2 linked regions of the Rattus norvegicus genome follow. The protein of the gene in region 1 purifies or fractionates together with the protein of each later gene. This does not show direct contact. Links are inferred from orthologs where the notes say so. Each region holds a gene or a part of one and is shown on either strand. Other genes may lie near its edges. The genes, in order: Slamf1 and Ptpn11.

Evidence for each region.
Region 2: the proteins of Slamf1 (region 1) and Ptpn11 purify together in Homo sapiens (affinity purification with western blotting; 3 studies listed by BioGRID and IntAct, with this or other methods). This does not show direct contact. The link is inferred for Rattus norvegicus from reciprocal best matches to the Homo sapiens genes SLAMF1 and PTPN11.

Annotation. Positions count from the first base shown.
Region 1 is NC_086031.1:86,812,439-86,816,256, reverse strand, and holds part of Slamf1 (signaling lymphocytic activation molecule precursor), read right to left. Parts: intron 3,183-3,818; exon of another isoform or gene 2,352-3,182; coding exon 2,061-2,351; exon of another isoform or gene 1-2,060.
Region 2 is NC_086030.1:41,077,843-41,081,660, reverse strand, and holds part of Ptpn11 (tyrosine-protein phosphatase non-receptor type 11), read right to left. Parts: intron 2,806-3,818; coding exon 2,693-2,805; intron 309-2,692; coding exon 239-308; 3' UTR 218-238; intron 1-217. UniProt on the Homo sapiens protein: Acts downstream of various receptor and cytoplasmic protein tyrosine kinases to participate in the signal transduction from the cell surface to the nucleus. Positively regulates MAPK signal transduction pathway. Dephosphorylates GAB1, ARHGAP35 and EGFR.

The sequences.
Region 1 (3,818 bases):
TACATTCATATACACATACATTCATACATACACACATTCATTATACATACATACATTCATTATACATACATTCATACATACATACATGCATTCATATATACATACATGCATTCATATATACATACATACAATCATATATTCATACATACATTCATTATACATTCATACATTCATACACACATTCACTCATACACACATTCATATATACATACATACATTCATACATACATAAATTCATACATACATCCATACATACATACATACATTCATACATACATTCATACACATACATTCGCTCATACACACATTCATATATACATTCATACATATATTCATACATACATACACTCATACATACATACATATATGCCTACGTACATACATAAGTGTATGAGTCTTCCTCAGGACAGCTTAAATGAGTAAAATCACCTTCAGTGTTAGCTTAGAATATCCTGAGCCAAATGCCCTTCAGCATAAACTTTACGGCGTGTGGAGGTTTTATTATGCATTAGCTGTATTCTTGTTGAGCTATCTGGAAGCATGGGAGGGGAACTCATCTCCATTTTTAGACAGGTTAGTGTAAATTTTTTGCTCCCCTGTTCCTAAACAGACTTTTACCAAGAGAGCTAGCCTGGCACAATGGGTATTTTTCCCTGTCTCCAAGGAAAACAACTAGTTCTTTTTTTCATCATGATTCCTGAGGTGTTCTAGTGCAATCACTCTTCCATGACTACCTGGAAGGGTTTCGGTACCAGACAGCTCAGCTCTTACTCAAGCCTTTCATAGTTTTTCTCATTCTCTTTACTTCATTCATAGTGCGAAGATGTTCACACTAGAGTATTGGATGGCTGTGAGGGTTGATGATTGACTGTTTCCATGACATGGCTGCATTAGGTTCGTGACAGAACTCAAAGGAATATCCTGGGGTACAGCAGGGGTGTTTCCTATCTGAGAATCTTCTGGGGGCTGGGGTCTCTGTAACAGGAAGTGCTATGCTGAAGACATAGTGTAGTTACAGTCCCCTCTCCTCTGCCCCCACCTGTCTGCTGTGTCACATAGAATCCACATTTACTTGGGTTGGAGTCTCCTTGAGATGACTCTTGCCCAATGTCAGGGTATAAGAAAAGCCTTTTGGGGCTCTCCCTCAACCGTCCTGTGACAGAGACACACAGCCTGGCACGAGAGAGCAGTGGTCTGTTCTGTATCTTTGTGGTTAGATTAGCTTACGTAATCAGCATTCTCCTCCAACAGAGCAACGAGGCTTTCTACCCCGGAAAGGAGAAACCTACTCAGAATATTTAAGTTTAGGCATTGATTCCACTAGCTGAAGTTGAAGAAGCTTGGAGAGATGCTTAGTTTCTGTGAACTTCAAGTTCCTCCTCTGTAAAATGAAGCTGGTGGTAGCACCCGCTCGGCAAATTTATTGTGAACCAAAGAGACGGTACAGTTAAAAGTAGCTTGCCAGTATCACGCTGATTCCTCTGGTCCTCTAGCTGGCTCTAAGATTCACAGTCCACTCACAGCACGAGCCCCTCCCTTACAGCCTGCACATCATTACTGAGCAAATGTCTCATATCTTATATTTACAATGCATTGTTGAGGTGCAGAGATCAGACATCGTATCTACTCCCTGATCTTGCAGCCTAAGTACTTATTGGTGGTCCAGAACATAAGTAGAGAAGTATTTGGGGGGTGGGGTGTATTTATAGATGGCAAAGAACTGTTTCACCCTAACGGAGCATGGATTTAGGACCTAGGACCTACATCCCAAAATCTTTTTCCTACATATCCTTGAACACTGGATTCAAGGCAGAAAGCACAGAGAAAGTCTTGCTCTTGGAGACCTGAGTCTGGCTCAGATTCTGGGTCCTCCCTCCTTCCCTGCTTTTTCCTTAACTGTGAATCAAATGGGGCCAACACGGAAAGCACCTAGATGTACCTGGAGACTTTGGCAATATAAAGCAAAGGTGAAATATTGTGGGCAAGGATTGGCTGTTGAAGTAGTGCTCTTGGCCTAGCTAGCATTGGATTTGCCATGGATGAGGTCCCCGAGTGCTCACCTGAGTAGGATTCTGGCCTGCATTGCTGCCATAGGTTGAAGGTCCGAGAGCGACTGCTGACAGGATTGCTCGCTGTGCAGTTGTAGATGCTGTCCTGATGCTGGTTGCTAAGGATGAGGTGCAGGAGGTGGGAGCGGTTGGCTTGGCTTGGCAGACGGGTACCTGCCTCATCACCCCAGCTGTAAGACACATTATCCCCTCTCTTCACCGTGCAGGCTAGCAGCAAGTGGCAGGTCCCATTCTCCTCCTGGGTTTTGTTTAGCACTTTAATCTCTGGAGTGGAGACCTGTTCTGTCAGGAGGAGGAACAAGGGAGCCATCACTGAAACAAAGGTCCCGGAAGTGTTGACTTATTTGTCAAGAGAAAGTCTAGCCAGATGTCATTTTTCCCCTCACTGAGAAACCTTGAGTGTGAGTTGTCTCTGCTAGGGAGCTGTAACTCATATCATCCCTCACCCCACCCTGCTCATTCCAGGAGCCTCTTCAGATAGAACAGAGAAGCAGTTGGCGTACGGTTCCTTTCTGTTAGGATGCTACATGCCTCTCCTGATGCTTGCCGTCTAGATTGCTCTGCCTTGTTCTATCAGGAATAAGATAGGTTGACTGGCTTATGAGTACAACATCCTAGACTGTGAGCTAAAAGCATGAACTTTCAGTGGTAGGCTTTCATTGAGCACATGTGTACGCATGTGTGCCTGCGTGCGTGTGTTGTGGACGTGGGTGGTGGTGGTGCAAGGACTTTGTGGGTCTGAAGCAGGGGTAAAGTTTTAAACCTTAGCTACGGGTCCTATCAACCAGACAATTCCAGTGCCACAAGATAGGCAAGGTAAAAGGGAGGTCACGTCTGTGTTTAATCCAGCTGCTACAGGATCAGCACATCGCTGGCGTTTCATATCCATCTTCTTTCATTCTCTCAACTATTATGACTAAAAGTAATCATTCCCATTTTGCAAATGAGAAAATGAGTCTTCAGAGAAACAGTATGACTTAAATGACTATGTAGCTTCTAAGTGGCCAGGCTGAGATAAATACCTTAGTCTGATTCAGAAATCAGCCTCTCTCTCTCTCTCTCTCTCTCTCTCTCTCTCTCTCTCTCTCTCTCTCTCTCTCTCCTCAAAGAAAATGGCTGCAGAGACCACATTTCCCAACACACCTAGCTGATTATATAAGGTATGACGAAATCAGTGAACTCATAAGAGCAAAAGGACAGATTGTATAACACTTATGTTATTTAAAAAACATGATGTGCGGCCTCCACGAACACTCAACAGAGGGTTACGGGAACTCTGCACTCTCTGTTTGCAGGAGGGAAGTGCTGGGACAGAAGAGAGTAAAGATGTTTCTCTTTTTCTCCTAGAAAGCTACAGCTTTCGATAAAATGCTGGCTGTGGGCTCCCTCTGCCATCCTTGGTGATGTACGACATCCTTTGGAAAGAAAGCCCCACACAGATGTCAGGAAGCTTTGGAAAGCAGACAAGGCTCAGAGCCTAAGGGATAGGAATTGTAGGTGTCTTCAAGGACAGGAGCAGAGGTTAAAGAGGCTCACAAGGTGCTGGATTCAGCTAGATGTAGGTTCTACAGGGCCACAAGTAAATAACTACATAAGCAGATCCTGGTTCAAATGAGAAAAGAGGTGTTTTTTCACCGTGTAGGTGGAAGCCTCCCCCAGGCTCTGGGCTTGGTGAACTGCTTGTGGGTGGAATATCACTCTTTACCCAGAACCTCTACTGTAACAAACATCCCACACAAGTGTGAGCAA
Region 2 (3,818 bases), on another chromosome or scaffold:
CCACTCCATCCCTGTCAACTGCTGTGCCAGCTCCATCCCATGCAGTTAACTGATCTGACTTAATGAACTGTAAACCAAACCCGGCCTGGAGAGGGGCAAGGCAAAGAGAAAGGCTGGTTTGCACGACTCAATCACAGGACGTCTTGCTCTGGCACGAACAAGTCGCCTGCCTGTCTGGACCACTGTGGCCGGCCCCAGGGAGAGACTGGTGTCATACCTGCGCGCTGCCACCCGAAGCTCATCTGAAACTCCTCTGCTGCTGCATGAGGCCCACGTTCTCATAGACTCGAGCGCTGTCCTCCCGCATTCTGTAGACACACAAGAAGGAAGACACTTACCTGACTGCCATGTCCAGCTAGGCCAAGACTGACCCCTTCTCACCCAGGAGCTGGCTCTCAAAATGGACATCAGACACAGACTATTATGAATTTGGAAAATCAGCAGAGGCCCTGAGTCCTGTCTTCCAGAGTGTGAATGGAGGGAAGGCAGCTTGGAGGGCAGTGAAGGAGTAGGTGCACAAAAGACAGGAACTGTGGCCATTTCCACAGAGGCATCACAAGTGAGGGCTCCAGTCACCCTTAGAGCCTTGGATGAAGAACTAAAAGCACCCAAAGGCCTAGTCTCCTTCTGTAAAGAAGGCTATTAGCCAGCTGTGTGGGACAAAAGGATAGGATCTCTGAGCAGCCCTGGGGCCTAGGATCTCAGGTGTGCATCCCTCATGGGACAGCACGAAGGCAGATTGCCTGTCAGTCACTGGTGAGCTTTGTAGGAAGGGTGCTCACCCAGTAGTGTGAGTAGCGTGAGGTGCTGCTCCCCAGCAGGTTACTATAGCTATCGATTTAAGACACCAGTATCACCAGTCAGCCTGCTGGGGCAGAACAGAGCAGGAGGAGGGAAGGTGACTCAGGAGAGAACACCCTTCCCACATGATTTCATTTCTGTGTTTAACAGAGAGAGAATGTAAACACAGGCCTCTATCTGCTATCTATCAGAGCTGTGTAGAGCCAATATTAAAGTCAGCGGGGCTTTAAAAGCCCACAGCAGAAGCAAACAAGTGGGATTCCAGGGGAAAGTAAAAGTAAATGTTAGGGCAGAGAGCAACCTTGTGGTACAGACAGCACAGCTGCTAGCCACGTGACTGGCTAACAAATACTGCCCTGTGTGTTTTACTTTAACCCAAGAGCTTGCAAGGCCCTTCTGGAAAGAACCAACGTGTGATGACTCTACTGGCCAGAGAGTCCCTCTGTGTGCTATGCCTTGGGGTTTTCCTTTCCCAGGTTGCATGAGGGGTGGAGACATGTAAGTCTGGGCTCTTACAGACATCAAGCACTGGGGTGACAGGAGGAGCAGAGTGAAGGAAAGAGGTCACAGTAGACTTCAATCCTAACCTGGCCAAACACCCCTGGAAACTGTCACTTAAAATGCAGGGACCTGGGTTTCCTGGAATGTGAATGTGGTTTCTACTGGAGTCCTGCTTCTCCCGGGAGTCTTCAGTAGCCGGCTACAAAGCACCAGCTCAGAGGACTGGGGTGTTTTACCCCAAAGTGGCCTAAGGACACTGACCTCAAGAGCTATAAGCAGACTAACAGACACAAGGATGACGTGTAGACAGGCGCAGCCACGCTGCTGGTTCAATACTGTACCACCCGAGCTCTCCGAGCCACCATACTGGTGAGTTCTCACAGTGCTGTGTCAGTGAAAAACCAGTGAGCACCAGGAGCTAAGTTCAGTCCCTCTTGGGGTCTGACTGACAGAGCCTGGGCCCTTTCTGCTTCTGGGTGTGTCTCTAGTTCAACTCACACTCTGGAAATGTCAGTTTCCTGTCAAAGATGCACAAACCATTAAGATGGCATCATGTTGAATGCCTCTGGAACAAAACCTTCCCTGAGATCTGAGTGCTTCCAGGAGAGGTATTCATTCTCCAAGCTGCAAGGTCAGCAGGCAGCGTGCTCTTACGGCTCTGGCTGCAGTCTGGGGCAAGCTGCCCTGTGGGCTGAAGCAATGAGCTTGAAGCAGCGCCACGCAGCAGCCGCTCCTTAAAAACAATCTGTCTTCAGCAGCACTGCACCCCCTTCTGGCACTGCGTGGTGTGTGGGAAGAGCTTTGCGCCGTGTCCTGTCCCTAAGCCGCCTGCTGCTTCCTTTGCAGGATGCCCATTCGTAATGGCCCGCCATCTCCCACTAGGATGGCTGCCCCTGTGCAACTGTCACCTTGCTGGGTTTTGAGGGGTCTGTCTGTCTGTCTGTCTGTCTGTCTGTCGGAAAGAAGAACTCCTTTACAAGAGCAAAGCTAGGCCTGTAGGCTCTGGCTTTCTGACCTTTGGTTTAAAAACTCTTATTGGTAGATCATAGTCCTGTCCACGCATAAATATAGAACTTACTTATTCTTACTCAGAGTCAGAACACACTGTAAGGACAGCATTGCCTCTGAAATAATGCTAACTGCAAAAGGAAAACGCGATTTTCCCAGAGAACCCTTCCTAGCATGCTTAGGGCCCCACAGGGTCCTGGAGGGCCCAGCACAGGCCTCCTGGTTAGGGGCCTGGAAACCCTGCTGAGACATCGTCCACAGTCCCTAGAGATCCCCTGCGCCTGACCGCCCCATGTACCATCAGTGGGTAGCAAGCAAGCATGAGAGAGGAATACAGACAGCAAGCTTTGACCAGAGCTATAACGCCAACATCAATACTTACTCCGCACAGGGTGGCGTTGGGGTGCAAGGTGGCAGGGGACTCTGATCGCCACTTGTCTGGTCCACCAGGGAATACTTAATATTGGTATATTCATGTCCTTTCCTTTTGCTTTTCTGAAAGTGGGAAAAAATACAAGTAAGAAGGACTGTGGACTCGACTTTTAGAAAAACACAGGAATAGAAGGCTATTTCATCAAAGGAAACGAGAGAGAGACAGACAGATGGACAGACTAGACTCTTATGAACACTAACATGTTGACCAAACTGTCAGGAGCTCCCGGCCGGCCGGCCCAGCACCTGCAGGAGGAATGCGCTGTGAACACATCCCTAGGAGACCCAGAAGCCGGAGGGATGCAGGAACTGCCCACTGATGCAGACCAGAGGCCTTCCTCCTACTGCACGAGCTCTAATCACCGTGTGCAGGGGTGGAAGGCACAATAATGCACTTTATTTATTTAGCATATTGGCGATGGCACCCAGAGCCCTTGTACCATGTTGGGCATGTGTTGAGCCAGTGAGACACTCCCCCAACCCTCCAACCTACCTCCTATATACCTCAGAAAAGACCTCCGCATCCGAAGATGAAATGGTGGGGCAAGGAAACCAGCAGAGCAAATCAACAGGAAAGTAATCTCATCCCACCATGTGCTTGCGTGTGTGAGAGGTGTGAGCGCTCACACATGCCACACCCGTGTAGAGAGCAGAGAAGAGCCCTGTCGAGTCCGCTCTCCATGCACTGAATATCCGTTGACAATGCATTTGTACTGAGCACGCGCACACTCACCCTAAGTTCAAGGCCTGCCCGGCTACATGAAGACCACAGGAGGAGTGAGTAGGTTCTCTACAAAGCCAAGCCCTTTATACATGGGACAGGAGAGCCTACAGGCTTCATGTCTAAGACTAAGTCCCCTTGGATGCGGAGAGATGGACACACTATGCAAGGTGGCAAGGACCACTGAGCACCATTCATGGATGTGCTCCCAGGCCAAAGGCAACAAATCCGATCAAAGTGGGACTCTTCAGTGGCCACTCTCTCTTCACTCTGGATGCCTTCCATTCTGGAAGATGAAGCAGCGAGGAGAGGGCACTGCACATCCATGATCACAGCACCCAGGAGGAGGCAGGAG